7 linked regions of the Xenopus tropicalis genome follow. The protein of the gene in region 4 binds, or shares a complex with, the protein of the main gene of each other region. Links are inferred from orthologs where the notes say so. Each region holds a gene or a part of one and is shown on either strand. Other genes may lie near its edges.

Region 1 (3,477 bases), on a different chromosome or scaffold from region 4:
GAACTTAATTTCCAAAGAATTGTCAGGTGGGTGAAAATGTTCAGTCCTTGGTCACTTATATGTACATTTCGAATCTTCTTCATTGGTAGTTTTTGATATTTCTGGGTTCCTTTGTAAGCTTCACTGGCACAGGGACTGGTGTGAATGATCTATGTCAGTGCTGTCCAACTGGCGGCCCGCGGGCCCCCCTCTGTGTGGCCCCCCACCTGTCTGGCTGCTTTGATGGCTTACCTTTGAGTAAGCATTAAATGGTATAAGTACTGAGATTAACTGGCCCCCTGCATGGTTCTCACCTCAGATTCAGGCTGTAATCCCTCTGTATTGTTTAAAAATGTAATCCATTGTGTTTTTCACACCTTTTAATCCCTGCATTGTTCACCCCCTGCAGTGTTCACACCTCAGGCTGAGACTGTAATCACTCCCATTGTTCACGTATTCACACCTCAGACATAGGTACTGTAGGCAGAGTATGGCACATGCAGCCAGCATAGGGCAGGTAGAGTATGGCACATACAGCCAGCATAGGGCAGGTAGAGTATGGCACACACAGGCAGCATAGGTCAGGGAGGGTATGGCACACACAGGAAGGGTAGGGCAGGCAGAGTATGGCACACACAGTCAGGGTAGGGCAGGCAGAGTATGGCACACACAGGCAGGGTAGGGCAGGCAGAGTATGGCACACAGAGGCAGCATAGGGAAGGCAGAGTATGGCACACACAGGCAGGGTAGGACAGGCAGAGTATGGCACACAGACAGCATAGGACAGGCAGAGTGCTGCCTGTGTGTGCCATACTCTGCTTGCCCTATGCTGCTTGTGGGAGGTGAACCTGGCAGGGGTTTGTTGTGGGAGTTTGTTAGCAGTTGGAAATAGCCATTAAATGGTCCCTAAGGTGTTTAATTATGTACTGGGGGTTGCTCTGCTATCCACAGGGGAGGAGGAGGCATATGGAATTTAAGGGTATATCTTAATATGACCTAATTCTTTCACATATGAATGATGGTTGATATCCCCACAGTAAGGACCAAGCATTTGGGATTTTGCTGTGCTACCACCATTGTGATAAAATAGGTGTGGTTTCAAAAAGGGGAGTGGTCAAAACTGGCTTCCATTAGCGGCCCTCCACCATGTATGCTAGAGAAATTCCGGCCCTTGGCACTGTAGAAGTTGGACAGCACTGATCTATGTAATTATACAAGTTGTACATTTCAAACAGTACACTGAGGCCTTTTGTATTCTATATGCGGTTGCAGTTATTCTGACTGCATATTTAATCGGATGGAAGTTTTATTGTTGCAGTGCATATACCAACTGTTCAGTATGGTGAACTGATCACACCCATGATATCTTTACTCTTTGGCTGTGTTTAACTCTCAAGCCATAAACCAGCTGAAAAAACTTGTTCCTTTTAATCCCCATGTTTTGTGTGCTTTAGATCGCTTTCGGTTTCTTTTAAACAAATTACTGGTGATTGATAGGTCTCAAGCAGTTTTCTCTAAATGGCACATTTTTATGTATGTCTTTCATTTTTCAGTTTTTGACACCCGGCTATTGGTATGTTTTTCTTACTTGCAATCAGAATGTAAGCTTTAAGACAAGCACTTGCTCTAATGGTATACATAGATGTATTTACTTGTTATAGGCATAATTAAAGGGTCATATTAATGGACTCTACAGTTGAGTAAATTAACTTGCTGTGTACTCCATGTTTAGTCTTCTTGCAGGTAATCCGCATTCCTTTAACTTGCAGCCTAAGTGTAGGGTGATGTTAGCAGCCCCTGCACTTTTTCTCCCCGGCACGCAGCATGCTTACTGCTCAAACCCAGGTTATGGTGCATGCTTTGTTAGGGGTAAATGCATAGAAATCCAACGTGACCCCAGCAGTGTTACTGCACCAATTCTAAACACAAAGGTAGCTTTTGGCTTCAAATGTACTCCTGTTTCTTGGCCTAAATTTAGTTGCCTGCTGTATATAGGCTGACTTTCTCGTTTTAAGTGATTTTCCCATCTAACCGAACAGTGTGTTTCTGTCTGCATTTATTAAGACCAAATGTTACTGCTAACAAATGCTTATGTCCAGTATTAAATAGAATAGGGCTGTTCAGCTGGAGGACTGAGGGCTGTATGTGGCTTTTTCTGAGTTCTTTATAGCCCGTCTGCCCAAGATCTCCAAAGACATCTTTCTATGGCATAACTGCTATAGAATAATTGGCCCAAATCATTTGAAATAAAAAATGTTATCCACAACATGGGAAACATTGTATGGCTTCAGTATACAGCTGCCTGGCTGGAGCCATGTAACACTCACTGCTGCTTGTACAAACTGCACATGTAAGTAAGTAACCTAATTTTTCTTATTTCCAAACAGCATTGATGCACTTCCCAAGGTAACTTGCCCAAACCATCCTGATGCCCTTCTGGTAGAAGATTATAGGGCTGGGGATATGATCTGTTCAGAATGCGGATTGGTAGTGGGTAAGTCTTTGTTATAAAACCCCATTATTAAATGTGTAATCTATTTCTGAGTTCACTGTTAGGGCTTGTGTTAAACATGAATTCTGTTTTTCACTAAATGCAAATCGGTAAACAAACTGGTTTTTTTAGTGTCCTATATATATTTTGCTTAAGTTCATAATAATCCTCATCATTATTACTATGGCTTAGGTATATATAATGCCTTTACGGTTGTGCTCTGTAGCTTTGTAGCTTCAGAGCCAGTTTTTCGTTTTTAAATATTTAGACCTACAGCATTTTGCTGGTGCTCTACATTAAGTGGTCAGATTATGCAGAGAGGAGCCCTTGGCCTGAACATCTAGATATTGGACTGTTTTGCAATCCCACAAACAGGAAAATAACACTTATCCATTCACTCTTTCATGGCCTGAAAAAGGTTGGCTACCCTATTTGCCAGTGCCCTATCATGTGCTGAGAAAGAGCATTGGTAGATTTGTTACTCTGTTTTAACAGAGTGGCTGTATCCCATAGGATGGTCTTCTGAAATCCTACCCTGATGTGATTTGGTCAGTCTCCCCCACACCTGAATTCAGGTTTACACATAAGAAAACTTTGTTAAATTTGTCAACCCCCTATAGTGCTAGTGATATCCATAGTGGCAAATAAATTGCAAACCTAAATCTTTCCCTTAGTGGACTTCAGGCAAAGCTCCTCTTTTGGCAACATATGGCATAGAGTTCTTTTGGTGCTTTAGATTCAGAAAAAAGCCACAAAGCCTCAGTCAGGGCAGTATCTGCAAAGAATTTGTCCTTCCCATGCTTTCCACTTTCCTCCCACATCCCAAAAACTTACTGGCAGGTTATTTGGCTCCTCATTAACCATAGTTTGTTGGAGACATGAGACTGTAACCTTCACTGGGGCAGGGACTGATATTCTGTAGCACAATACAGAGATTATACATATATTCATATGTTGGCACCATGTAAAGGAAAATGCAAAAGGCATAAAAGATAATGAACAGCTGC
Region 2 (4,183 bases), on a different chromosome or scaffold from region 4:
ACCTACAACTATTTTACTATGCTAAAAAGGCCGTTTTTTGCACTGGCAGCAGACATCTGCATTGATGACACCTTACCATATCAGAAACGAACATATATTGCCAGAGACTGCCCCAATAAATTTCATGCCATCTGGGTTGCTTGGTAAATGCTCTAGCTCTACTAATTAACTTAATGCCTGCATACACTGTGGTACTAATGCTATTTACTTGCCACACCTTTTCTTACCTTCCTGCTTTCTTTCTTTTCCGTTTCTCAAACTATTGCGTAAAAGTTTGGGAAAATAATAACTTTTAAAAAAAGGGACCTATGTGTTGCTGTAGGCATAGTAAGGCCCAATGGTGTGGGTGGCAGTACACTTTCATATAAGTTAAACCAAGTGCAGAAATAACATAAGAGGAGATGAGGACAAAGGCAGTTAATTGTTTTTGCACTTGATTTACTAGTTATGAAGGAGTTGTTACCTGTGGTGCAACTTGTGGCCAATGGGTCCGCCTGCCACTCACACAAATGAGTGTTATTCTCCCTTTTAACTATTATTGATATTGGTACAGATAAAAGCTCTGTTTACCTCTCTTGAATATGACTGGCAATGACAGCAAGCTTGTTATTACGGCCCATAAATAGATGGGAATTCCCCATCACTATTACTGCATCAATGCATTTTGGAAGTGTTACCTGCCGAAAATAAAACATAAAAATGGTTATAACAAGCCTGCATATTAGCATATTTTTAAACACAGTTACATTGGGCTAACATGCCTGACAATTACATAATAAGCTGGATGTAATTTAAAGGCAACACAGAAGGAACTGATAGGATTGGATACAGAGAAATAGAATTGTATGTGATTGCCAAGCAATTAGACTGAGATGAATGGTCATGTGATTGTTGTTATGATACTGATCTGAAGCTGCTGCAACACTGCAAGACATTTGCAGTTGAATAGTCTGCTGTACATGGAGTACTTAACAACCAAATAAATTATTTTTTAGTGTGTGGGTAGTAAGCTCAACTTTTAACAGGACGGCTAACCTACCAGGACCACTTGTAAAATGCAATGTGTCTGGTTCATAAATGACTTTTTCTTTACCTCTGAATGATTAAGTGCCTGCTGACCCCACCAAATAGGATTCACATCAACAACAACAACCAAAAGATTCACGTCATCATCTGCAGGAAAGAAGGAATTTTTGAAATGCCTATTCTAGCAATAGGATGGGTGTCAGTTCTCTATTATCTTTAAAAATTCTACAAAGCATTTATATGCATTATGGTAAATCACTACCATCAACTGAATAATATATGCCTTTACAAATTCCTTTCAAATGTGTAACTATATTGAAGTTTAACAGTTCTCAAGAAACTTATTCCCTGCAGTCTGCACTTGACGCTGCTGGTTCATTCAATATATTTTTCTACCAAACTGGAATCTTTTAGGGCTGGTATCTACTAAAAGTTGGCAAGACCCATGATTCAGCATGGGATTCTATTGTATGAGAGCAACAGAGTTAGTTGGAACCATTGTGGGAAGCAGCTAACATTGATAAAGCACAGATGCCTATAGACTAGAAGTTATACAGGTAAATCTTTAATGTTATAAGCTATATAACATATGATAGTATAATTTACAGTAGCATATTCATTTAAGATGCCAGCATTATTAGCATGTAATAACATTTTTATACATATAGTGCAAACACACTTTATTATCATTTATCCTGCAAAATTCACAATTCAGGGTACAGCTACAATGGAGACATCTGTGGACCTACAATACAGGCAATATCTTAATGGCAGTTAGGGTTGGGAAGGCAATTTTACACAATGCTGGGGCAACACAAGATTTAAATAAATCCATGAGAAGGGGTAAGTGAAATGTCCGCTTGGTACAGGCAAATTTGCCTGTGTTCCATTTTAGGTTATAACATTTATCATTTTCATGCACATACTTTTATGCAGTGCGGCATTTGACATTTACTGAATAAGGTCCGTCACACTGGATGATGGCATTACCCTATATTTGGCAATCATATAGGAGTAGCACTGTATGTTGGCAAAGGTTTGTCATCTGCTATGCTACACAGACTTGTTTCAGAGAATAAGGAGTTGTTTGCGGCAGATTATTAACTGATTGCTCAGTTAATAAAAACTAGTGGGGGATCCAGTGGGGAACTGATTGATGTAGAAATAAAAATTGAACTAGGTTTCTAAAGTGTTTATAAAAAAGGCTGTAAAAGATGTTGTATTAGGGACCAGTACCCACTTGTTATGCCACTGGCCTAGACTGGCAATATGGATATTCTGGCAAATGCCAGTGGGGCAGCTGTTAGGTGCTATAGACTTGTGCTTTATTTTGGGCCAGTGGGTCTGCCTAGGCCACCAGTCCACCTGCATTAAATAGCTTATAATAAGTTGATATATGAATTGCATGCAGTTTCCAAATGATTCCTGAATGTGTCACTGAGCTGTAGGTCCGTTGTGCGCCTGTCAGCATGGGACATTTCCATAGCTACCCTGTAAGTAGTATTCTGTACTAACCGGAAGTGGCAATGGTATTATGGTGCGTATTTCTGGGTTTATATAGCGCAGGGCTTTATTATCATCCTGCACTTTTCACAATGCGCCCAAGCTCTGAATTGTTCTGAAGAACCCCAACACCAAGCATAGCCTGGCAGCCTCTCAGGCGGCACCCCCACACCGCACAGCCGCATTCATAAAATCCACAACACCCAGGTAACTCACCAGAAGCCATAGCAACTCTTCTTCTCAGAATGAAACAGCCATTGCACTGTCGCACTCCAATGACGTCGTCCGCGTAAGGGCGTCTTCTGTCAGCTCGCCATGCCGAGATTAACTCTGTCCTTGCCAGATGATAGCAGGCCGGCGTGGAGAAGCTTTTGGGTTGTAGGGTAGTAGCGACTTTTTCTTTCAGAGAACGCAGGCGGAACCATGAATGAAGAAGGTGAGGACTGGGGTCCGGGGTCCCGCAGCATATACACAAGCCGAGCGCCCCAGCAGTCAGGCTCACGGAGCGGGGGGTCAGGCCATGCTATATGGAATTCAGCGATAAAGTTATCTCCAAGCTGTGGGCTTCCAGCTGCCATTGGGATCTACCAACCTGCTGGTAAAAGCTCCACCGATGCAGGGTGGACACGCTACAGATACATTGCCGAAATATATCAAATATATAATATATGGCCCAATTACCAATGGAAGCAGCTGGCATGGTATAACAGTCTCTGTTGTGAAGGAGCCCTCATATTGTCAGCTCTTATGTTAACCCTATTGTCCCTGTGACATTATCATATCCCACAGCTACAGACAATGTTGCTTTATAAATAAACTATTACATGATATGGGCCATTCTCACTTAGTGCAGTATTTACTGCTGGTTCCCTGGCCCTGGCTTGGGTATATGGGATAATATAGAAAACAGCAGTAGAAATAAAGGGAAAGTGATGGAAGAGCAGTCGGAGCAAGGTTACATTCATTGGAATTTTGACTGTAGAGCCTCTTAAACAAACATGCAGGGAAGCTGTATAGTGTGAATATTTGCTTTTTATGTTTCAATTTTTTACCTCATAAGTCTAGATAGTATAGATATAGTATAGTATCGTAATATAGATACACATTAAGAGGAAAGAGTAGGGAACTCACACAGACGCCTACTATTACCCCAAATTGCTTCCTCAGTGCCTGGTTAAAACTCAAATATTAAAAGAGACTAAAAGGTTTGTAAAAAAAATGCCTGACATGCATTTAGCCAGAGATTTATTAAAGGCGAAACGCGCGTCAGGCAGTTTTCTAAAATCTCTTGAATATTGGGAGTGTGTAATAATTGGAATTTTGTCAAATTTGCACAAGACTTCTATAGGGTGTTTGTTCTTGTATCTTGTTGTAGTTCAACTACTAGTTCCTAGTTAGGTATTTGGGCCTTGGAAATTGGAATCATTTAAGTTTTCCTCTTCTGTAATATTGATATAAAGACAACTTTAATCACAGCACTTGTCACTTTAATCAAATTGGGGGACTGTAATAAGAAATACTATTGCATTAATATAACAAAAAGCACTAGTATTTTGTTTAGAAAAGTAAATTGAATAGACCTTGAAAGGTTGTCTTCTCTTTCTTCTTAATTTGTTATAGTTCGACTACACCCTCGCAAGGTAATCTGGTTCTT
Region 3 (4,217 bases), about 41 Mb from region 4:
ATTTTAACATGATATGTCTCCTTTATGAGGGCTAAATGTATCAGTTTACTGAGGGCAGAGGTTCCCTATATACAATTTAGCAACTCTACAGCCACACCAGGCCCAGACTGGCAATCTGTGGGTTCTGGCCAATGCCTCTGGGTACTGGGAATGCCAGAGGGGCTGCTGTAAGGTACCACAGACAGTCACTATTTATTGGGCTGGGGGGGCGTTTGTGCCTCTGGGTACTGGGAATGCCAGGGGGGCTGTAAGGTGCCACAGACAGTCACTATTTATTGGGCTGGGGGGGGGGCTGTTTGTGCCTCTGGGTACTGGGAATGCCGGGGGGCTGTAAGGTGCCACAGACAGTCACTATTTATTGGGCTGGGGGGGCTGTTTGTGCCTCTGGGTACTGGGAATGCCAGGGGGGCTGTAAGGTGCCACAGACAGTCACTATTTATTGGGCTGGGGGGGGCTGTTTGTGCCTCTGGGTACTGGGAATGCCAGGGGGGCTGTAAGGAGCCACAGACAGTCACTATTTATTGGGCTGGGGGGGAGCTGTTTGTGCCTCTGGGTACTGGGAATGCCAGGGGGGCTGTAAGGTGCCACAGACAGTCACTATTTATTGGGCTGGGGGGGGGGCTGTTTGTGCCTCTGGGTACTGGGAATGCCGGGGGGCTGTAAGGTGCCACAGACAGTCACTATTTATTGGGCTGGGGGGGGGGCTGTTTGTGCCTCTGGGTACTGGGAATGCCAGGGGGGCTGTAAGGTACTACAGACAGTCACTATTTATTGGGCTGGGGGGCTGTTTGTGCCTCTGGGTACTGGGAATGCCAGGGGGCTGTAAGGTGCCACAGACAGTCACTATTTATTGGGCTGGGGGGGGGGCTGTTTGTGCCTCTGGGTATTGGGAATGCCAGGGGGGCTGTAAGGTGCCACAGACAGTCACTATTTATTGGGCTGGGGGGGGGGGCTGTTTGTGCCTCTGGGTACTGGGAATGCCAGGGGGGCTGTAAGGTGCCACAGACAGTCACTATTTATTGGGCTGGGGGGCTGTTTGTGCCTCTGGGTACTGGGAATGCCAGGGGGGCTGTAAGGTGCCACAGACAGTCACTATTTATTGGGCTGGGGGGGCTGTTTGTGCCTCTGGGTACTGGGAATGCCAGGGGGGCTGTAAGGTGCCACAGACAGTCACTATTTATTGGGCTGGGGGGGCTGTTTGTGCCTCTGGGTACTGGGAATGCCAGGGGGGCTGTAAGGTGCCACAGACAGTCACTACTAAGGGGTATACTTACATACCCCCCAACTGTCCCGCATTGCGGGACATTCATGGAACTATCCGGCACAGCAGGATGCGCTTGCTGTAGCCGGATGTTCTTGCTTCGTCGGCTGCTTCGTTATGCCTCTCCTTGTGCAGCGCTACAGGCCCTTTTATAAGGTTGCGCCTGTGGGTGTGACGTCATTACGCATGGGCGCAACCTTATAAAAGGGCCTGTCGCGCTGCACAAGGAGAGGCATAACGAAGCAGCAGAAGAAGCCTGCGCCTATGGGAGGTACTGTGAATGGGGGGCCACTGTGATCGGGGGGGCCACTGTGATCGGGGGGGACACTGTGATCGGGGGGGACACTGTGATCGGGGGGGACACTGTGATCGGGGGGGACACTGTGATCGGGGGGGACACTGTGATCGGGGGGGACACTGTGATCGGGGGGGACACTGTGATCGGGGGGGACACTGTGATCGGGGGGACCTGTGGGGGGGGACACTGTGATCGGGGGGGACACTGTGATCGGGGGGACACTGTGATCGGGGGGACACTGTGATCGGGGGGGACACTGTGATCGGGGGGGACACTGTGATCGGGGGGACACTGTGATCGGGGGGACGGCTACTGTGTATGGGGGGCTACTGTGTATGGGGGGCTACTGTGTATGGGGGGCTACTGTGTATGGGGGGCTACTGTGTATGGGGGGGCTACTCTGTATGGGGGGGCTACTCTGTATGGGGGGGTTACTCTGTATGGGGGGGTTACTGTGTATGGGGGGGCTACTGTGTATGGGGGGGCTACTGTGTATGGGGGGGCAAAACTGGTACTTAGTTATAACTGACTGCCTTCTCTCTATACTTGTATTTATATGTAGGAGTTGCTATATTGTTTTCCTTAGGTAGTACAGTATGAGGGTATAGCACATTTTCGTCTGCGCCCGCCATTTCATCTATATAAAAGGGGTATTTTTTTTTAATGGGGTGTGGTAATTGGGGCGTGGCCACAAAAGGGGGCGTGATTAAAAAAAATGCCGCACTGCGCGCGCGCCAAATCTTTTTGTCCCTCTTTTCATTTTTCAAATGTTGGGAGGTATGTACTTATCATGCTGTGTAAAAAGTGGAGTAAAGCAGTACTGGTGATGTTACCCAGAGCAACCAATCAGCAATTAGATTTCAACAGTTAGAAAATCAAATCAAAGCATCTGATTGGCTGCTATATACAACAACACTGGTGATGTTTTACTCCACTTTTTACACAGCATGATCAATATACCCTTAAGTGTCTTTACCGTGGGGTTTCCTTCTTGGCACCGGCAGCTGGAGCCCCAGAACCTCCTCCTCACTCGGTCCCTCCTCGGAATCTTCCCTTTCCGCACTGCGTTCGCTGCTCCCATCCATCTCCCCTCGGTTACAATCAGACAAGCGGGCTGCTTCCCCCTCACACTGTGTTTACATTCCCCGCAGCGCCGCTTGCACTTCCAGCCCCAAGCATCCCGCAGGCATGTTCAGCCACACGCCGCTAGCCTCCTCTCGCGAGAATATGACGTCATGAACCACGTATAAAAGGGGCGGAGACGGCGCCAACTCGTCATTGGGTGAAGAGTTAGTCAGGCAATAGCTGGCAGTGGGGGCCGCTGACTGATTATTCTGCTCTCACAGATTCTGATTTTGTTAGAGAATAAATAAAGAAAATAACGACTGCTTTTTTCCTTCGTGTTTCCTTGCCATGGCCACTGCCCTTAGAAGCTTTATCCCCAGTGTTTGATGAAAAAACAAATATTTGCTTTCTCTGCTCCACAGAACATGTAAATGGGAACAAAAAAAACACTTTGTTTATATTTGTGGGTGAGGTAAATATGAAAAAAAGCTTTATTTTTCTGGTGATTACCAGCAATACCCACTACCCTCAGAGTCTGCTCCTGATATCCCAAACTTAGTATTTTATTTGAAGTTACACTGCCATGTTTTTGTGAATAATGGACATGGTTTTAATTTTTGATTTTTAAAAACCCTATAACCCACCCAGTTTTTCAATTATTGCCTCACTATTGTTACAGTTGGCCCATACAGAACATTTGGTCATTCCTTTCAGCTTTGATCCCTTTGGACATCCTTGTTACAGCCATACTAAGCAATAGGCAGCAATAGTTACAGCTATACTAAGCAATAGGCAGCAATAGTTACAGCTATACTAAGCAATAGGCAGCAATAGTTACAGCTATACTAAGCAATAGGCAGCTATAGTTACAGCTATACTAAGCAATAGGCAGCTATAGTTACAGCTATACTAAGCAATAGGCAGCAATAGTTACAGCTATACTAAGCAATAGGCAGCAATAGTTACAGCTATACTAAGCAATAGGCAGCAATAGTTACAGCTATACTAAGCAATAGGCAGCTATAGTTACAGCTATACTAAGCAATAGGCAGCAATAGTTACAGCTATACTAAGCAATAGGCAGCAATAGTTACAGCTATACTAAGCAATAGGCAGCAATAGTTACAGCTATACTAAGCAATAGGCAGCAATAGTTACAGCTATACTAAGCAATAGGCAGCTATAGTTACAGCTATACTAAGCAATAGGCAGCAATAGTTACAGCTATACTAAGCAATAGGCAGCAATAGTTACAGCTATACTAAGCAATAGGCAGCAATAGTTACAGCTATACTAAGCAATAGGCAGCTATAGTTACAGCTATACTAAGCAATAGGCAGCAATAGTTACAGCTATACTAAGCAATAGGCAGCAATAGTTACAGCTATACTAAGCAATAGGCAGCAATAGTTACAGCTATACTAAGCAATAGGCAGCAATAGTTACAGCTATACTAAGCAATAGGCAGCTATAGTTACAGCTATACTAAGCAATAGGCAGCAATAGTTACAGCTATACTAAGCAATAGGCAGCTGTAGTTACAGCTATACTAAGCAATAGGCAGCAATAGTTACAGCTATACTAAGCAATAGG
Region 4 (4,154 bases):
GATAACCCATCCTCATGCCACTTCTAGGCCAGCATAAAAATACTATGCCCAGTGGGTATGGCAGGACAAAATTACAAACAGGAAATCCTTTTCTCATCACACATTTACAGAATTAAGTGCCATACAATGCACCAGTGTGTTCTCCTGAATGACTTTTACAGATAGATAAGAATATTTAGGGCTGTGACAGACGAGATGATTAGTTGCGACTAATCTCCCCGAAATGCCATCCCACCGGCTAGAATGTAAATCGCAGGTGGGATGGCATACGCGGCATCTTTGAGAGGAAACTTCGGCGATGCTTATGCCATCCCACTGGCAATTTACATTCCAGCCAATGGGATAGTATTTCGAGGAGATTAGTTGCTCGCGACAAGGGAGATTTGTCACGTGGCAACTAATCTCCCCGTCTGTCACAGTGAAAGCAACTATTAGGTGAATAAGATACAACAAAGGCTTTTGTCTTACCTTAGGGTTATACTCTGCATTTCGCGCTCTAAGTGCAATTGTTTTCAGATCCAGTTTGCAGCCAAGATTTACAGTGGACACTATGTTCCTGAACAATGTAAAAGCAGTTATTACAAATCCAAATATTTTTGCTCACTGTATTTAAAGGTATTCAGTCATTAATTTTTATTGTGTACTTATATTTCTAAATTACTGTTTACATAGCAAATAATTTACCATTTAAAATTTTATTCTTAAACCAACAAAAGTAATTTTTTAGTTGTAGGCAGCCAGATCAGTGCATTGTGCCCGAGTCTGAGCTTTCAGAAGGAGCCAGAGCTACTGGACTTGAATTTTTTTTTTTTTTTTACTATTGAGTACTGTTCTGATATCTACTGGGAGCTGCTAGCTTGCTAACTTACATTGTTCTGCTGATCGCCTGCAGGGGGATGATGATATCACTCCTATCTGCAGCACAGTAGTAAAGTGTGACTGACCTTTATCAGAGCAAAAGTCACATGACTGTGGCACCCTGGGAAATGAACATGGCTAGCCCCATGGGAAATTTTTAAAAAGTATTACAAAAAAAAAATTTGCACTATTAGTACTTGTAAAAGTGCTAAACTATTTTAATTTCCCAATTCTTTACTTGTTCTATTTTTCACACATGTTGGACAGATATAGGACACATTAAAACTAGGATACTACTGTACATGCTAAATTACATATCAAGACAAGTCTTTCTCCCTCAATAAAGTTTCACTTTAAATATGACATCAATTCAGTCTCAAGAATGTGGTGTAAAAGTCTGAAATGAGGAAACCGTCTGCATCTGTTTCTAGACCTAATATATACACACACCCCTGGCCTGGTAGCTTTTAAATCTAATATGGACTCCTATATTTTTAAGAAATGTAGCTTTTTTTTTTTTTAAACAAATGTAACACTCACAGGGTAAACAAAGGTAATGCAGCACTGTTAAAATACTCATTAGTACCAAAGGTAAAACAAAGATAAGGTCTTTTAATTTTGACAGGCCACACTCAAATGTGGTATAACAAATAAAGTCATTACTGTCTAAAATTAAAATATGCCAGAATATGTTTCCATTTCCTGTATATCTAATATTTACCATTTGCAGAGTTGTATGCTCTATGGCACTACAGAAATGTACAGACAAACATAAGGATTTGTTGACAAGTGTGCAGATACAGATAATCTGACAAATGATATCTGCAAAATGTCCCCCAGGATGATGAGACTTACTGTAGCTGAGGAACAATTCCTGAACTTTCTGATGCAGGGGTAGCAGGAGTAATAGGGGTCATGGGAGTCATTGGGGAGGGGTATAAGGGTGTATTTCCTGGAAGAGGTGCTGTGGTAAGAGTCTGTGGGTGAAACAGTTGTGGGGTTTGGCCTGACCCCTGATTGCCTTGTTGTGATGTAGACTGCTGGGCCTGTTGTTGTTGTCTTTGCTGTTCTTCCAATATTGATAAACTGTTAGTTGTTTGTACAGGTTGAGGGGTCAGACCAGTTCCATAGGGCATCAACGGACTGAAAATGTTAATCCCTGGAGTCAGAGAACCCTACAGAAATAAAAGACAAAAAAAAAAAAAAAATTATAACAAATTTGCTCTCAAACCCACACACAAGTTGAATCACAAGTTAAAATGGGCTTAGTACATGGGGATTTCTTTAATGAAAATCTTATGGTATAGCCCTGCACATGGAGTAGGACAAGCTAAGGGCTCTTACACACAGGTGTTTTCACCCTGCAGTCTCCCGAATTGGATTTCTTCTCCTTTCCACCACAAGGAAGCATAGGATGAAATGCAGCTCTATATTCATTCACATGCATGAATGAGAACGGAACACATCTGTTTTGTGTTCAAGAGCCCTCAGGATGGCGTTCCTCCACCTATTACGACAAGCGCCCCAGCAAGAGAAACATTTGCATTGAAGCCAATATTGGCTGCTGACTTGCATTTCCCCCCTAAGTCAGTTGGAAGCATATTGGCCTGTGTCTCAAGTTTTTCTTCTATTTTTTCATTCTTCAGTATTGTATCTGTTGTCCAAATTAACCACACCCGGTATACCGTATACCCCCCAATTTAGAAAGTGCAAATGAAGTGAATATTACAATGCTTTTAAAGGCATTTTATTTTATGGAGGGGGAATTGTGGTAAAAGGGAAAAAAGGGTTCACACTTACCTGTGGTGATGCCAACCCCTGGAAAGGGGGTATACTGTTGTTTTGATCCATGTTGCGTTAATTGGAAATCCCACTAAGAATAAAACAAAGTGTGCTGTTCCTACAAATTAAAATAAACCATTCCAGCAGCAGACAAAAATCCTATAAAAAGAAGTTAAAAAAAAAAAAAAAAAAAAAACATTAAAACATAGCTTACATTCAGCAGTTAGCACCTGTATTGGTAAATGTGATAAGTTAACAGTAGGACAGAGGGCCATAACAACGAGCCAATGTGGTCCCCGATCCGTGTTGGGGGTGCCCATACACAGGCAGATAAGCTGCCAAATTGGTCTGAAGGAACTAAATTGGCAGCTAGAACCTGCAAGTGTATGACAACCTTATGTGACCATAGCAAGCAGTAAAGACAACACCATGAAGCTAATCTGCTATTAATCCTACTGTATAAATCAGTGACCCAACAACTAGATGACTGTTTAAAAGAACAAATAAAGTAAAAAAAAAAAAAAGATAAGATGTAGGGGATATTTATAATATTAGCAGCAGCAAATTGCTTGAAATGACAAAAAAAGGTATACTAAAATGGTGTAGTCAAATTATACACTTGCAGATGTCACAATGGGATTCCTTCAAGCAAAATTTGTAAAATGACCTGCGTGTGGTTTTAGTTTCTCCAAATCTCTTAAGGGCTCTGGCACACGGGGAGATTAGTCGCCACGACAAATCTCCCTGTTCGCGGGCGATTAATCTCCCCGAAATGCCATCCAACCGGCGAAAATGTCATTCGCTGGTGGGATGGCATACGTGGCGGCACGATTTCAGTGAAATAGCGGAAGTTTCCTCTCAAGGCAACTTCCGCGATTTCACTGAATCGCCGGTGGGATGGCATTTTGGGGAGATTAGTCTCCCGCGAACAAGGAGATTTGTCGCGGGTGACTAATCTCCCCGTGTGCCAGAGCCCTAAGAAGCTATAAAAACCATAAACGTATTCATTCAGATGTAATAATCAAGCCTTGTTATATCTAAATTCTGAGATTTTGTAGTACAATAATACAAATTTTGCTATATGTGCCCCTAAACCTTTTTCTCTGAGGAACCAATTAAACGCACAAATTAGTTTCACAACACAAGGTTGGTTTATGTACATAACTTAGTGCCTAATTTCCATTGTACTCAGTAAGATCATGCCTCAACAGTACAGGGAGCCGTAGGTTTATTGCTGAGTTTAGGCTGTAGCACTACAGAATGAGCTAGAAAATAGTAGAAACTATTAGACTAGATAAAATGGCTCCAAATCAAATTGGTCAGCTCAAGGCCAAAGAAGCAAATCTAAAATTTGCCCAGCTTTAAAGGAGAAGGAAAAGTAAAATGACTGGTAGTAGTAAATATTATTAGGCATCCTCAGGGATTCCAGCCACTTAGTTTACCTGCTTCAGCAACCCCACCCCCTTTCAGGCATAACCTGCCAGGCTTGGGCAAGGGCATGTGCACTACAGAAC
Region 5 (4,282 bases), on a different chromosome or scaffold from region 4:
CACAGCTCCTCCAGGACCAGGGTGCCCAGCTTGCATAGTCTGTCCTAACACCATATTGCCAGGGTTAGGCTGGCTCTGCTGAGGGGGCTGGATAATAGTTTTAGGGGATTCCGACTTGATCACCGGACTGGGCTGATTGTTCATTTGCAGCGAGACCCCGGCAGGGGCGGACAGAGGGGAATTGATCACAGTATTGCTCCCGTTCTGAGTGGCGGGCACGCCCTGGTGCAACAGAGGTCTCACCAATGCCACGCTGGTGGGTACGCCCGCCATGCCAGCTTGCTGCCCAGCTGCTCCCGCAGTGGATGTGGATGAGGAGGAGATGACTGAGGATGCCACGTTAGTAGTCCCAAGGAAAGAAGTCTGGATAACGGTGTTAGCTCCTGGGTTCACTCCACCCTTAGCGACAGGAGCCGGTCCGTTGTTTACCAGGCCGACAGCGGCATTGCTGTTCCCCTGGTAGGGGGTTCCGTGACCCCCAGGTCCGTGTGAATTAATCACAACATTACTCCCATTCATGGTCTGTAGGGTGGCATTTTTGCCATTACCTGAACTGTGGTTGGGCAGAGTGGAAGCCATGTTGCCCAGAACCCCAGATTTGGCCTGGCTAAGAGCTCCTGGTGCTTCGGGTATAGCAGACTGAGTCCCGTCAGGCTGTGCTGTGGTCTGTGGGCGGCTGTTAATGACACCTCCTTGTACTCCGGGTACAGCGGCTCCTGTGGGAGAAAAAGGACATTTTTTTTTAAACAGCAGGGAAAGAAACAGAGCTATGGGGTATACACCCGCCGGAATATACAGATAGCCACCCCTGTGCACCCACTCTGGTCCAGCACTTGGTTCCACCAGCAAACGCCCACTGGACCCCTCAGAAGCGGCATTAGGCAACCCCACAACCCAACATGCCACCCAGAAATCCAAACCATTCCAAGAGAACCCAATGATGCCCCCAGGAAGATTTACCCCCCCCCCCCCCCTTGTAAGTGAGCGGCATATAGACGGTGCCCTCAGTGCCAGCTCCCCAAGTACACGGGGAACATACCCCACATAAGGCAATTTCACCCACACCCCCCCAAATGACCATATAGTGCCTCTTGCCCCCCAAGTCCATTTATTAAGGCTCATTATAGCCCCCAGAAAATCCCAGGTATCTAAGTATCTACAACAAGGCCATCAGTAGCGCCAAAAGTTCATGTGGACCCCCAAATCTTCTCCTGGGGCACAAACTGCCCCCTAATGATCCACACAGCACTCATCTCCCCACAGTCACCCCCAAAACCCTAAAATGCCACAAATCTCTAGTCTGTTGCCACCAACAGCTCCATTAGTCCATGTGAGACTGGCCAGAAGGCTGCCCAGGGCCCAGTATACCCCCCAAATGCCCCCAGGCTGCCCGGTTACCCCAGGAAACTGCCGGGTACCCCAAATATCCAGTCGCCAGCCACCAACAGCTCTACGAGTCCATGTGAGACTGGCCAGAAGGCTGCCCAGGGCCCAGTATACCCCCAAATGCCCCCAGGCTGCCCGGTTACCCCAGGAAACTGCCGGGTACCCCAAATATCCAGTCGCCAGCCATCAGCAGCTCTATGAGTCCATGTGAGACTGGCCAGAAGGCTGCCCAGGGCCCAGTATACCCCCAAATGCCCCCAGGCTGCCCGGTTACCCCAGGAAACTGCTGGGTACCCCAAATATCCAGTCGCCAGCCATCAGCAGCTCTATGAGTCCATGTGAGACTGGCCAGAAGGCTGCCCAGGGCCCAGTATACCCCCCAAATGCCCCCAGGCTGCCCGGTTACCCCAGGAAACTGCTGGGTACCCCAAATATCCAGTCGCCAGCCATCAGCAGCTCTATGAGTCCATGTGAGACTGGCCAGAAGGCTGCCCAGGGCCCAGTATACCCCCAAATGCCCCCAGGCTGCCCGGTTACCCCAGGAAACTGCCGGATACCCCAAATATCCAGTCGCCAGCCATCAGCAGCTCCAGGAGTCCATGTGAGACTGGCCAGAAGGCTGCCCAGGGCCCAGTATACCCCCAAATGCCCCCAGGCTGCCCGGTTACCCCAGGAAACTGCTGGGTACCCCAAATATCCAGTCGCCAGCCATCAGCAGCTCTATGAGTCCATGTGAGACTGGCCAGAAGGCTGCCCAGGGCCCAGTATACCCCCCAAATGCCCCCAGGCTGCCCGGTTACCCCAGGAAACTGCCGGATACCCCAAATATCCAGTCGCCAGCCATCAGCAGCTCCAGGAGTCCATGTGTACCCCCAATTCTATTTCCTATGGGCCAATGTGCCCCCCCAAAGCCCTTGGCCCCCCTCCAAGTCACTCCACAGGCGCCAAGTAGTACAAGTATCCAGTTTTCCAAGAGCAGCAACTCCAGAAGTCCATGTGGGGCCCCCAGAGCGTTTCCCGGGGCCCATCACACCCAGCAGAGCCCCTGAAGGCCCCCAGTCAGCCCGCCGGCCGCCAAAACATTCCCGCGGCCCCCCTGCCCGCTCAGCTCGGCGCCCCCAGGCCTCACCCGTCTTAGGCACCTCCGGGGAGAGCCCTATCTTGGCTTCAGGCTGTCCCCCCGCACTGGCTGCCCCTACCCCCGGGCTGGTGACATGGTTAGCCAGGGCCTGGCTGCGGGCCTCGGCGGGGGGTTGCTGCTGGTGGTGGTGGTGATGATGGTGCTGGTGGGCCGCGGCGGCCAGCTGAGACTCCAGGGATCCCACCAGCTCGCTGACCACTTTATCGTCCACGTCCGTGTTGAAGAAAACCTCATCCAGTAGATCCGAACCCGCCGCCATCTTTACTCCGCCGCTCAACTCAGGAGGGCAGCAGCTCTGTGCGCCTGCGCGGCGGGGCAATTACGTCACACCGGAGCGGCGCTCCCATTGGCTGCTTCATGGCTACATAAGGAGCGGGCAAATGGCTGCGAGCGGTATTGGGAGGGCAGGAGGGGATCGAGCGGGGTCGGTGGAACGGGAGGGAGGCACAAAAATAGGGGGCGGTCGGGGAAGGGTCTGCGCGGGAAACCGGGTGGCGTGGCGACGCCTGAAGCGGAGAAAGTCGCCCCGCCACAGAAACGCGCGCTCTTTGTCTGCTCAATTCAAAATGGCTGCTGCGGGTGTCCCGCCGCCACTCCTGTCTGCCGCCCGCTGCGGGTTACCGGGAGGGAGGGGGCGTTCCTGTCACCGGGTGGGTGGGACACCTCATACAGGGCTCGGACAAACGCACTACTGCCGCTTGTGGGATCCGCTGTCTACCGACCGTGCCGCTTAGGCGGAGGGGCATGCTGGGAGTTGTAGTTTTACAACTAATGTGGTTCCCGTGACTATGGGCAGGGAGAAGCTTGTGTATCTGGGAAGGAGTGTAGGGGGGTGTAAATAAAGGGGTATGTGGGTGGATAAGAGGGGCATATGGGTAAATAAGTATATATATCCCTTGGGAACTGAATAGCTATCCCAGTAGAGTTGTTGGGGGTGTAATGGGGGTTATAGGGGGTGAATGATTACCCTAGGGCAGTGTTTGGAGGTATAAGAGCCAATAAGTACCCCAGTATAGTATCTGGGCAGGGGTATTGGGGTTATTATGGTGATGGGGGAGTTAAAGCCAAATAGAAATTCTACTAGATTATTTATTTATTTATAAGAAGTGGTGTAATGGGGACTAAGTACTCAATGGGCCTTGGGAAATGGACATGGCCGGGGGTTAATGTGACTGCCCCATTGTGGGGTAACAAACTGGGCAACTAGAGAGGGTATGGGGCTGTATAAGGGATAGATACAATCTACATGGGGTGATGATTTTCCCTGCACAGTGTTTAGAGGGTTAATCCCCAATAAATGATAGGTTAGTGGATCTACAAGTCATGACTGGAAACTGGATCCCCAAAGGATCACTGGAGGGGGGGGGGGGGGTGATCAGGGGCCCTGCAGGTTTTGTCCAATGAGAAGAATTCTGTCCCTTAAGGTTCTGGAATGGGTTCTGTTAGGGAGTAGGCTCTGATTCTGTATCCTCCCTCTATCGGATTTCTCCTCAATACTTTATAGAGTGCCTGTATGGTACCCAGCACTTTACAGAAGAGCTTGCAATCAAAGGGAAACCCCAAGCAGTATTGGGGTCCCATGTTATTTTATGTACCAAAGAGTAAGAATGTGCCACTGGCCTCCTGTTGTGAGGCAGCGCTAAAACACAAAACGTTAACCTATTATATAATGGAAGACTGCTCCTGCTCAGCCATTGGCTAGGTGGTGCCGGTGCACTGTCCCTTTAATTCCCATCTGGATATATTATTTATACA
Region 6 (4,290 bases), on a different chromosome or scaffold from region 4:
AGTTAAGCTGTTGCTGTCATTATTACCATGTTGTCTGATATGGTACTGAGGGAAAAAAGCATGGTGAGAAAAGGAAGGAAGGGGGGGGGGGGGGGTAAGAGAGAAGGGGAGATAACTTTTTCCAGAAACCAGAAGATGAAGGGGGAAAGAGAATTTTCATAATGGGGGGGGGAACAGAACTTGGAAGTGCTCAGTCGCTCAGCCGCTCCGTTGTTAACCTCATATCGTTTCCAGCAATTAACGTTAGACCTTTTCATGTATATCTGCTTTCTAGTAGTGTTCCTAGTCCAGTTTCATTCATTTATCTTTATATGATTCTAAGAACATAATCCATGGGGACCATGTCGAGACAAATTTGTCTGGTGTCCCCTGGACATTAATAAGTAGTTCCTCCATTCGCATAACATTTCCCATCTCTTTAACCCACTCACTTATTGTAGTACCTTTTTTAACATGTGCACAATAAAGTTATATGTCCCCTTCAAGGAGGATAGAATGTGGGTGTTTTGGTGCCCATGCAAAATAAGCTCTTGTATGGGTATTAAAACACCCAAAAATAGCTAATCATTGCTGATCATGGGAATTGTTGTGTGCACACCACCCCAAAATAGAGGAAGATGCATTTTGTGAATATTTAAAATGTATTTTCCAGCAATTTGATGACAGGGTTACACAATTTCATGTGAACAACAAAGTGCCCAATACGCCATCACCCTTAAACTAAGGGCCAGATTCATTAAAGTACAAATTACAAGTACGATTTGTGAAAATTTGAATTAAATACACAAATTTCTGATGTGCGTTAATTTTGCGAAAAAGTCACGTCGTGCTTGTACGAAAATATTGTGGTACGATCCGAAAGTTATGAAATGTTGGAATCCAAACGATCGTAAACGGCGGGAAAACCTTTCTGAGTTTGAACCTTCAGTGAATGATTTTGGAAGCCTCCCATAGGACTCAATGGCACTCTGCAGCTCCAACCCGGCCCAAGGAAAGCCTCCCATAGGGCTCAATGGCACTCTGCAGCTCCAACCCGGCCCAAGGAAAGCCTCCCATAGGGCTCAATGGCACTCTGCAGCTCCAACCCGGCCCAAGGAAAGCCTCCCATAGGGCTCAATGGCACTCTGCAGCTCCAACCCGGCCCAAGGAAAGCCTCCCATAGGGCTCAATGGCACTCTGCAGCTCCAACCTGGCCCAAGGAAAGTCTCCCATAGGGCTCAATGGCACTCTGCAGCTCCAACCCGGCCCAAGGAAAGCCTCCCATAGGGCTCAATGGCACTCTGCAGCTCCAACCCGGCCCAAGGAAAGTCTCCCATGGGGCTCAATGGCACTCTGCAGCTCCAACCTGGCCCACGGAAAGTCACAATAACGAAGCTTAAATTAGAGCTGGGCGGTATGACCAAAAATTTATATCACGGTATTTTTCAAAATTATATCGGTATCACGGTATTTGACGGTATATAAATAAAAAATAAATAATAAATATTGGTGGCCCCCCCACCCCCCCAACCACAACCCCCCCAACCCCAACCACCCAACCCCAGCCCCCCCAGCCACAACCCCCCCCAGCCCCCAGCCACAACCCCCACAGCCCCCCCAACCCAGCCACAACCCCCCCAACCCCAGCACCAGCACAACCCCCCAGGCCCCAGCCCCAACCCCCCCAACCCCAGCACCAGCACAACCCCAGCACCAGCCACAACCCCAGCACAGCCACAACCCCCCAACCCCAGCACCAGCCACAACCCCAGCACCAGCCACAACCCCCCCAGCCCCAGCCCCAGCCACAACCCCAGCACCAGCCACAACCCCCCCAACCCCAGCACCAGCCACAACCCCCCCAACCCCAGCACCAGCCACAACCCCCCCAACCCCAGCACCAGCCACAACCCCCCCAACCCCAGCACCAGCCACAACCCCCCCAGCCCCAGCCACAGCCACAACCCCAGCCCCACTTACCCAACTTGTGGTTCCTCCAGCGATGCGTCCTAGCGACGTCGCGTGCGCGCCGACGTCACATGCGCGCCGACGTCACGTGCGCACGGGCGCAACCCGGATGTAATTGGATAAAAACTGCAGGAGGCACGCATACCGGTATAGCGGTATGTTCAAAAATCATATCGTTTTTTTTTCAAAAACCGGTATACCGGTTAAACCGGTATACCGCCCAGCACTAGCTTAAATGAATCCGAAACTTTCGTACTTGTTGTGACAAATGCGATTTTGTTGCACAAATTGACACAAAGTACGAAAAAAGTTACTCAAAATACGCAGAAGTTGTAAACTTTAGAAAAAATACAAATTTTTGAAATCGGACCTGTCGTACTTTTAATGAATGTGCCCCTAAGTGATTACAATTGTCTTCCAATCCAAGAGTTACAAAACCCTGAAGTGACAAATTACCTGACGTGACTGTATTTTAAAATACAAATGGTCAGCTCTGTTTTCTATGTCAATAAACTTTTATTAAACTAGGTATAAACTTACCTGTCCAGCAGACGGCCATGATGACTGTTAGTTGGACTTTTGTTTGGCTTACTGGCATCCTTCGTTAATAAATTACAATCCGAATCACTAAAAAGTTCTTGGCTTTGAAGAATATCATAGCTGTGTGCATCTGGTTCACTTCCTTCCTCAAACATTGCTGCGATGGTAGCCATTAGTTCCTAGTGGCTATTCGTACCCCAGTGACATCATTGGCACGTTCCGCACGCCGTCATCTTCACGTTATACACGTGGTGTATGGGCGTATCCAAGTGACGTCCTTGTCACGTGTACACTGCATCATCGTCACGTGATGCACGTGCTGTATGTAAAGCCTATGCCGAGCCCGGGCACGTCATCGTGCGGCGTCATCGTCACGTGGTATACATGGTGTATATAAGTTCCACCTAAAGGCGCGACGGTCTTTCGTGCGTTGTCGAGACGACGGTGGGTTACTCTGTGAGTGAGAGATACAGAGCTCTGGGAAGTCTCTCGTGTTTTGTGAGTGTTGCAAATGCGACTTTTGGTGGGGTGGCCCTGGGAGGTTTGGTCGGGCAGATGTGGCTACTAGAGTGGCTCTAGGCTGTACTACTAGGTGCCCTTCTCTGCATGCCTTTTGCTCCCTGCCTGTGCCCCCTACACTGCCTGCCCTGGGAGGTTTGGTGGGGTATTGGGTGGGGCAGCCCTGAGAGGGTGAGTGGCAAATGTGGCTTTTGGTGCGGTGGCCCTGGGAGGTTTGGTAGGGCAGGTGTGACTTCTAGGCTGTATTAGGTGCCCTTCTCTGCACTCTGTTCCCTGTGTGTTCCCCTACTCAGCCTGCGCCCCCTACTGCTCCCTGTCCTACTCTGTTGTCTGCTCTCTGCCTGTGTGCCCCACTCTGCCTGCCCTCTTCTCCCTGTGTGCCACTACACTGCCTGCCCTGGGAGGTTTGGTGGGGTATTGGGTGGGGCAACCCTGAGAGGGTGAGTGCGGCAAATGTGATTTTTGGTGGGGCTGGTGTTACTACTAGGGTGACTCTAGGCTCTACTACTAGGTGGCCTTCTCTGCCTGCCCTCTTCTCCCTGCCTGTCCCCCCCTAGTCTGCCTGCCCTCTGCTCCCTGCCTGTGCCCCTGTGACTGCTAGCTGACTCTAGGCTCTACTCTGCCTGCACCCACTTACTCTGTCTGCCCTCTGCTCCCTGACTGTGCCCTCTGCCCTACTCTGCTGTCTGCTCTCTGCCTGTGCCCCCCATACTCTGCCTGCCCTGGGAGGTTGGGTGGGGCAGCCCTGAGAGGGTGAGTGTGGCAAATGGGATGTTTGTTGGGGCTGGTACTACTGCCTGTGCCCTCTGCTGTTTTCCTGTCCCCCCCTGCTCTCTGCCTGTGCCTACTAGGGTGACTCTAGGCTCTACTACTAGGTGCCCTACTGCCTGCCCTGGGGGGGTTAGTGGGGTATTGGGTGGGTCAGCCCTGATAGGGTGAGTGTGGCAAATGTGGTGATTGGTGGGACTGGTGTTACTGCTAGAGTACTACTGCCTCTTCCCCCTACTCTGCTTGCCCTCTGCTCCCTGCCTGTGCCCCCTAGTCTGTCTGCCCTCTGTTCCCTGTGTGTACCCTATGTTGCATGTCCTACATTGCCTATGGGAAGTGAGCCTGGTGAAGCTTCTTGTGTATAGTTAGAGTGCCCTAACGCAGCTGTCCCCAACATTTTTCCTCCCGGGGACCGGTGCAAAGAATGAAAGATTTTCTGCGTGCCGATGCATGTCTGCTTTGACTGCAGCTCTTCATCTTTAAATGTGTGCGCATTGCGGCCCAATCCTTGCATGT
Region 7 (4,081 bases), on a different chromosome or scaffold from region 4:
GCACAATAGCCCCACTGAAGGGCATTTGCTGGCGGGGTACCTTGCTTTTGCTGCGAGAGCTCCCGGAGGCCGTCCCCTTCATCTTACAGTGCTGCAAGGCGTCATTTGCAATGTCAGAGATGAACTTCTGAGATGCCAAGGAGATCAGCCGGATTCTAGGAGAGACAAGCGGTGGGGTCAGCGGATCACTACAGAGATCGAGAGGATCCGGTGTGAAATTCAAAATAAGCGAAGTCAATACAGATGCTGTGCTGAACTCATAGTAATCACCATACAGGCCTGATTGGATAACTGCAGTAAGACTAATGAAAGCAACTCTGATTGGTTGCTAGGGTTAAAGGAAAAGTAACACTAAACATTTTTAACTAAAAAAATCTATTCTACCCTCCCCCAATAATTGCCCTATCCTGAAATCCATTTGTTATTGTGAATGCATCAACTATGCGGTGATCGACTGATCTAGCCCCTGACTTCTGTATATAGGAATGAGTCAGGCTAGGCTCGATCAGTCGATCACCGCATAGTTGATGCATTCACAATAACAAATGGATTTCAGGATAGGGCAATTATTGGGGGAGGGCAGAATAGATTTTTTAGTTAAAAATGTTTAGTGTTACTTTTCCTTTAAGGGCCGATTCGGGTCCTTCAGACCAATTCAGCAGCTTATCTGCCCGTGTATGGGCACCCCCCGACGGGCCTACCCAACCGATATCTGCCATTGCGATGGTTTGGCCCTAGCCCGGTATTGCCCACTGTAGGTGGAGAAGATCCGCTCATTTGGCAATCTCACCAAACGAGTCTCCACCAATTACATTACAGTTCCTAGAAAGCAAGATAAACAATAATAAAGAGGGATAATACATATAACGGAATGGCAGCACCAGAACGGGCACTTTAACCCCTATTTAGGCCTCCAGTTGCTGTGGCCATAAGCGTGACTGTCAGCTCTCCTGGTAGGCACAGAGCAAACGGCTACTGGCCACGGCGGCCCATAACCTAGCGCTACAGGCTGGCCAGAATAAGGGAAGGTTCTTCCTAGTCGAGGCAACTGCTACAGGGCTCTGAGAAGCTCCGGTACCCACGGGCCAATAACGTATGGCAGCAGGAGTTGTACTTACATGCGTGGGTCGGATGCTTCAAACCCGGCCCGGTTCAGGTAATATCCAGTGACGGCATCTGGGATCTGCAGGAAATCGGGAGAAGGAATGTAAAGCAAATGTTGGAACAGATACAAGCAATGATACAGGGAAACAATATGGCAGCTCCCACCAACAGATATACATACATACAGAGAAATGATGTTCTGTAGGCACAAGCTGCACCCTGACACTGTGTAAGGTGGGGCAAATGCCTGGCACTGCCCCCCCCCAGTACCCTAGGGCACAGCATTTCCCATACAGACCCAAGGGACACTTACCGTAGGGGTATAGTCCTCCAGCTGCATCAGGAAATCCACCAGGGGGGTAGTGGAAATGACAGGTTTGACATCGCCATTTGCCACCCCCGGGGGCAGGTACACGCCATTAGAGAGGGATCCCTCGGAGGGGGCAGCAGCCGCTGATGCAGGGACTGGAGGATCAATAACAGAACATACATTGGAATTGGAAAGGACTGGGCAATAGTCACACAGCCGGGCACTTACCTGCGCCCAATTCTCCAAATACCCCCCCACCCTATCTGTCCCCAAACTGTACTCCCCATTGTACAACCCAGTGGGCACCATTTGCCCCGAAACAGGTCCATTCACCCAGCTCCTTCCATACGTTCCCCTTCTCACCCCCGGCACCACTCCTACCCCCTGCCCTAGCAAAGGGCAATTCTCAGCTATGACAGCCCCCTCCTCTCTAGCTGCCCCCCGGGACCCCTTTCATCTCCAGCTGCCCCCCGGGGCCCCCCTCTCATCTCCAGCTGCCCCCCGGGGCCCCCCTCTCATCTCCAGCTGCCCCCCGGGGCCCCCCTCTCATCTCCAGCTGCCCCCCGGGGCCCCTCTCATCTCCAGCTGCCCCCCCGGCCCCTCTCATCTCCAGCTGCCCCCCGGGGCCCCCTCTCATCTCCAGCTGCCCCCCCCCGGGCCCCTCTTTGCTCCAGCTGCCCCCCCCGGGCCCCTCTCATCTCCAGCTGCCCCCCCGGCCCCTCTCTGCTCCAGCTGCCCCCCGGGGCCCCCTCTCATCTCCAGCTGCCCCCCCCGGTGCCCCTCTCTGCTCCAGCTGCCCCCCCCGGGGCCCCTCTCTGCTCCAGCTGCCCCCCCGGGCCCCTCTCTGCTCCAGCTGCCCCCCCGGCCCCTCTCTGCTCCAGCTGCCCCCCCCGGGCCCCTCTCTGCTCCAGCTGCCCCCCCGGCCCCTCTCTGCTCCAGCTGCCCCCCCCGGCCCCTCTCTGCTCCAGCTGCCCCCCCCGGGCCCCTCTCTGCTCCAGCTGCCCCCCCGGGCCCCTCTCTGCTCCAGCTGCCCCCCCGGCCCCTCTCTGCTCCAGCTGCCCCCCCCGGGCCCCTCTCTGCTCCAGCTGCCCCCCCGGCTCTCCCTTTCCCCTCCATGCTTGGGTTTCTCTCCCCAGGCCTTTCCTGGAGTCCCAGTCCCCTGTGAGTACCCCCCCCTCCCTCTCCGGTTCAGTTGCTGCCGCTCACCGCTGGCTCTTCGCTCCCCCGTGTCCCTCCCGGGTAGAGCAGCTGCAGAGGCCGCGGCAGGCCCGGGTTTGGGAATGTTTGCCGGGCTGGGCTTACTCTCTGGGGCCGGACCGGGCTGGACTGAGGCAATAGCAGATAGAGAGTCTGGCGCTGTCTCCGTCCCGCTCATCTTCACCCTTGGACAGGAACTTCCGTCAACACCCGGAAACAGCTCCTCCACTTAATCTCCTCCCCAAAACAACGGGCAGTGCCTTTACGCCATCTTCCTGCAAGGCGTGTCCCAGCGCCCCCTACCGGCCAATGCGGCAGCTACACAGCTCAGGAGAAACATAACCTTACGTAGAAAGCCCATTGGCTACCTGCCAGGGCGCGGCCATTTACTGGCTTAAAATGTTGCCAATCAAAGCGGTGATAGCAAAGCTGCGTTAGGATTTGAACAAAGCCAGACTGTGATTGGATGTCGCTTGGTTACGTGCTGAGGCACGCTAGAGTGCCGCCATGTTGCTACACACGGAAATGAGCTTAGCGAAGTGCATGGGAGTCAGACTGACAGTGAGGCGCGACACCAACTCCTTCTTCTGAGCGTGAAAAGCGCCACAGGCAACCAAACCGGGGCTGTTAGGAGCCGGCGGGCTGGACTTTACCCTGGGGCAGGGGCTGCTTGAGGCCAGTATTTGGGTGTAGCAATATGGCGGAGTTCGCAGACCGAAAACGGACTGGGAAACCACAAGAGTGAAAACCGGATCCAAATTGCTCCGACATTGATTCACTGAGCAAGTGGGTGAGTGTCCGCCTCCCGGGAGCTGGGACTTTCTTTTTATTGATCCACCCCCCCCCCCCCCGCCTCCACTCAGGCAGCCATTATGGGGGTCTCTTTACACTCACTGTCAGTAACTAACCCACTCACTGTCAGTAACTAACCCACTCACTGTCAGTAACTAACCCACTCACTGTCAGTAACTAACCCACTCACTGTCAGTAACTAACCCACTCACTGTCAGTAACTAACCCACTCACTGTCAGTAACTAACCCACTCACTGTCAGTAACTAACCCACTCGCCGTCAGTAACTAACCCACTCACTGTCAGTAACTAACCCACTCACTGTCAGTAACTAATACACTCGCCGTCAGTAACTAACCCACTCACTGTCAGTAACTAACCCACTCACTGTCAGTAACTAACCCACTCACTGTCAGTAACTAACCCACTCACTGTCAGTAACTAACCCACTCACTGTCAGTAACTAACCCACTCGCCGTCAGTAACTAACCCACTCACTGTCAGTAACTAACCCACTCACTGTCAGTAACTAATACACTCGCCGTCAGTAACTAATACACTCGCCGTCAGTAACTATACACTCGCCGTCAGTAACTAACACACTCGCCGTCAGTAACTAACACACTCGCCGTCAGTAACTATACACTCGCCGTCAGTAACTAACACACTCGCCGTCAG

Evidence for each region.
Region 1: tbp (region 4) and gtf2b share a complex: the UniProt entries of both Homo sapiens proteins name them as parts of the TFIID-containing RNA polymerase II pre-initiation complex. The link is inferred for Xenopus tropicalis from reciprocal best matches to the Homo sapiens genes TBP and GTF2B.
Region 2: tbp (region 4) and gtf2h3 share a complex: the UniProt entries of both Homo sapiens proteins name them as parts of the TFIID-containing RNA polymerase II pre-initiation complex. The link is inferred for Xenopus tropicalis from reciprocal best matches to the Homo sapiens genes TBP and GTF2H3.
Region 3: tbp (region 4) and taf1a share a complex: the UniProt entries of both Homo sapiens proteins name them as parts of the transcription factor SL1/TIF-IB complex. The link is inferred for Xenopus tropicalis from reciprocal best matches to the Homo sapiens genes TBP and TAF1A.
Region 5: tbp (region 4) and taf4 share a complex: the UniProt entries of both Homo sapiens proteins name them as parts of the TFIID basal transcription factor complex. The link is inferred for Xenopus tropicalis from reciprocal best matches to the Homo sapiens genes TBP and TAF4.
Region 6: tbp (region 4) and taf1d share a complex: the UniProt entries of both Homo sapiens proteins name them as parts of the transcription factor SL1/TIF-IB complex. The link is inferred for Xenopus tropicalis from reciprocal best matches to the Homo sapiens genes TBP and TAF1D.
Region 7: tbp (region 4) and taf10 share a complex: the UniProt entries of both Homo sapiens proteins name them as parts of the TFIID basal transcription factor complex. The link is inferred for Xenopus tropicalis from reciprocal best matches to the Homo sapiens genes TBP and TAF10.

What each region holds. Positions count from the first base shown.
Region 1 is NC_030680.2:105,695,398-105,698,874, forward strand, and holds part of gtf2b (transcription initiation factor IIB), read left to right. Parts: intron 1-2,366; coding exon 2,367-2,473; intron 2,474-3,477. UniProt on the Homo sapiens protein: General transcription factor that plays a role in transcription initiation by RNA polymerase II (Pol II). Involved in the pre-initiation complex (PIC) formation and Pol II recruitment at promoter DNA.
Region 2 is NC_030677.2:160,973,268-160,977,450, forward strand, and holds the start of gtf2h3 (general transcription factor IIH subunit 3), read right to left. Parts: upstream 2,801-4,183; 5' UTR 2,756-2,800; coding exon of another isoform or gene 2,746-2,755; intron 1,174-2,745; coding exon of another isoform or gene 1,094-1,173; intron 678-1,093; coding exon of another isoform or gene 571-677; 5' UTR 464-570; intron 1-463. Other genes in the region: eif2b1 (translation initiation factor eIF-2B subunit alpha), read left to right, coding at 2,953-3,127. UniProt on the Homo sapiens protein: Component of the general transcription and DNA repair factor IIH (TFIIH) core complex, which is involved in general and transcription-coupled nucleotide excision repair (NER) of damaged DNA and, when complexed to CAK, in RNA transcription by RNA polymerase II.
Region 3 is NC_030681.2:9,682,265-9,686,481, reverse strand, and holds the start of taf1a (TATA box-binding protein-associated factor RNA polymerase I subunit A), read right to left. Parts: upstream 2,801-4,217; 5' UTR 2,645-2,800; coding exon 2,536-2,644; intron 1-2,535. UniProt on the Homo sapiens protein: Component of the transcription factor SL1/TIF-IB complex, which is involved in the assembly of the PIC (pre-initiation complex) during RNA polymerase I-dependent transcription.
Region 4 is NC_030681.2:50,706,327-50,710,480, reverse strand, and holds the start of tbp (TATA-box-binding protein), read right to left. Parts: upstream 2,801-4,154; 5' UTR 2,710-2,800; coding exon 2,659-2,709; intron 2,034-2,658; coding exon 1,714-2,033; intron 557-1,713; coding exon 469-556; intron 1-468. UniProt on the Homo sapiens protein: The TFIID basal transcription factor complex plays a major role in the initiation of RNA polymerase II (Pol II)-dependent transcription.
Region 5 is NC_030686.2:4,389,809-4,394,090, forward strand, and holds the start of taf4 (transcription initiation factor TFIID subunit 4), read right to left. Parts: upstream 2,801-4,282; 5' UTR 2,787-2,800; coding exon 2,516-2,786; intron 717-2,515; coding exon 1-716. UniProt on the Homo sapiens protein: The TFIID basal transcription factor complex plays a major role in the initiation of RNA polymerase II (Pol II)-dependent transcription.
Region 6 is NC_030678.2:100,292,372-100,296,661, forward strand, and holds the start of taf1d (TATA box-binding protein-associated factor RNA polymerase I subunit D), read right to left. Parts: upstream 2,801-4,290; 5' UTR 2,661-2,800; coding exon 2,488-2,660; intron 1-2,487. UniProt on the Homo sapiens protein: Component of the transcription factor SL1/TIF-IB complex, which is involved in the assembly of the PIC (preinitiation complex) during RNA polymerase I-dependent transcription.
Region 7 is NC_030678.2:177,470,375-177,474,455, forward strand, and holds the start of taf10 (transcription initiation factor TFIID subunit 10), read right to left. Parts: upstream 2,801-4,081; 5' UTR 2,790-2,800; coding exon 2,621-2,789; intron 1,570-2,620; coding exon 1,418-1,569; intron 1,184-1,417; coding exon 1,119-1,183; intron 189-1,118; coding exon of another isoform or gene 156-188; coding exon 41-155; intron 1-40. UniProt on the Homo sapiens protein: The TFIID basal transcription factor complex plays a major role in the initiation of RNA polymerase II (Pol II)-dependent transcription.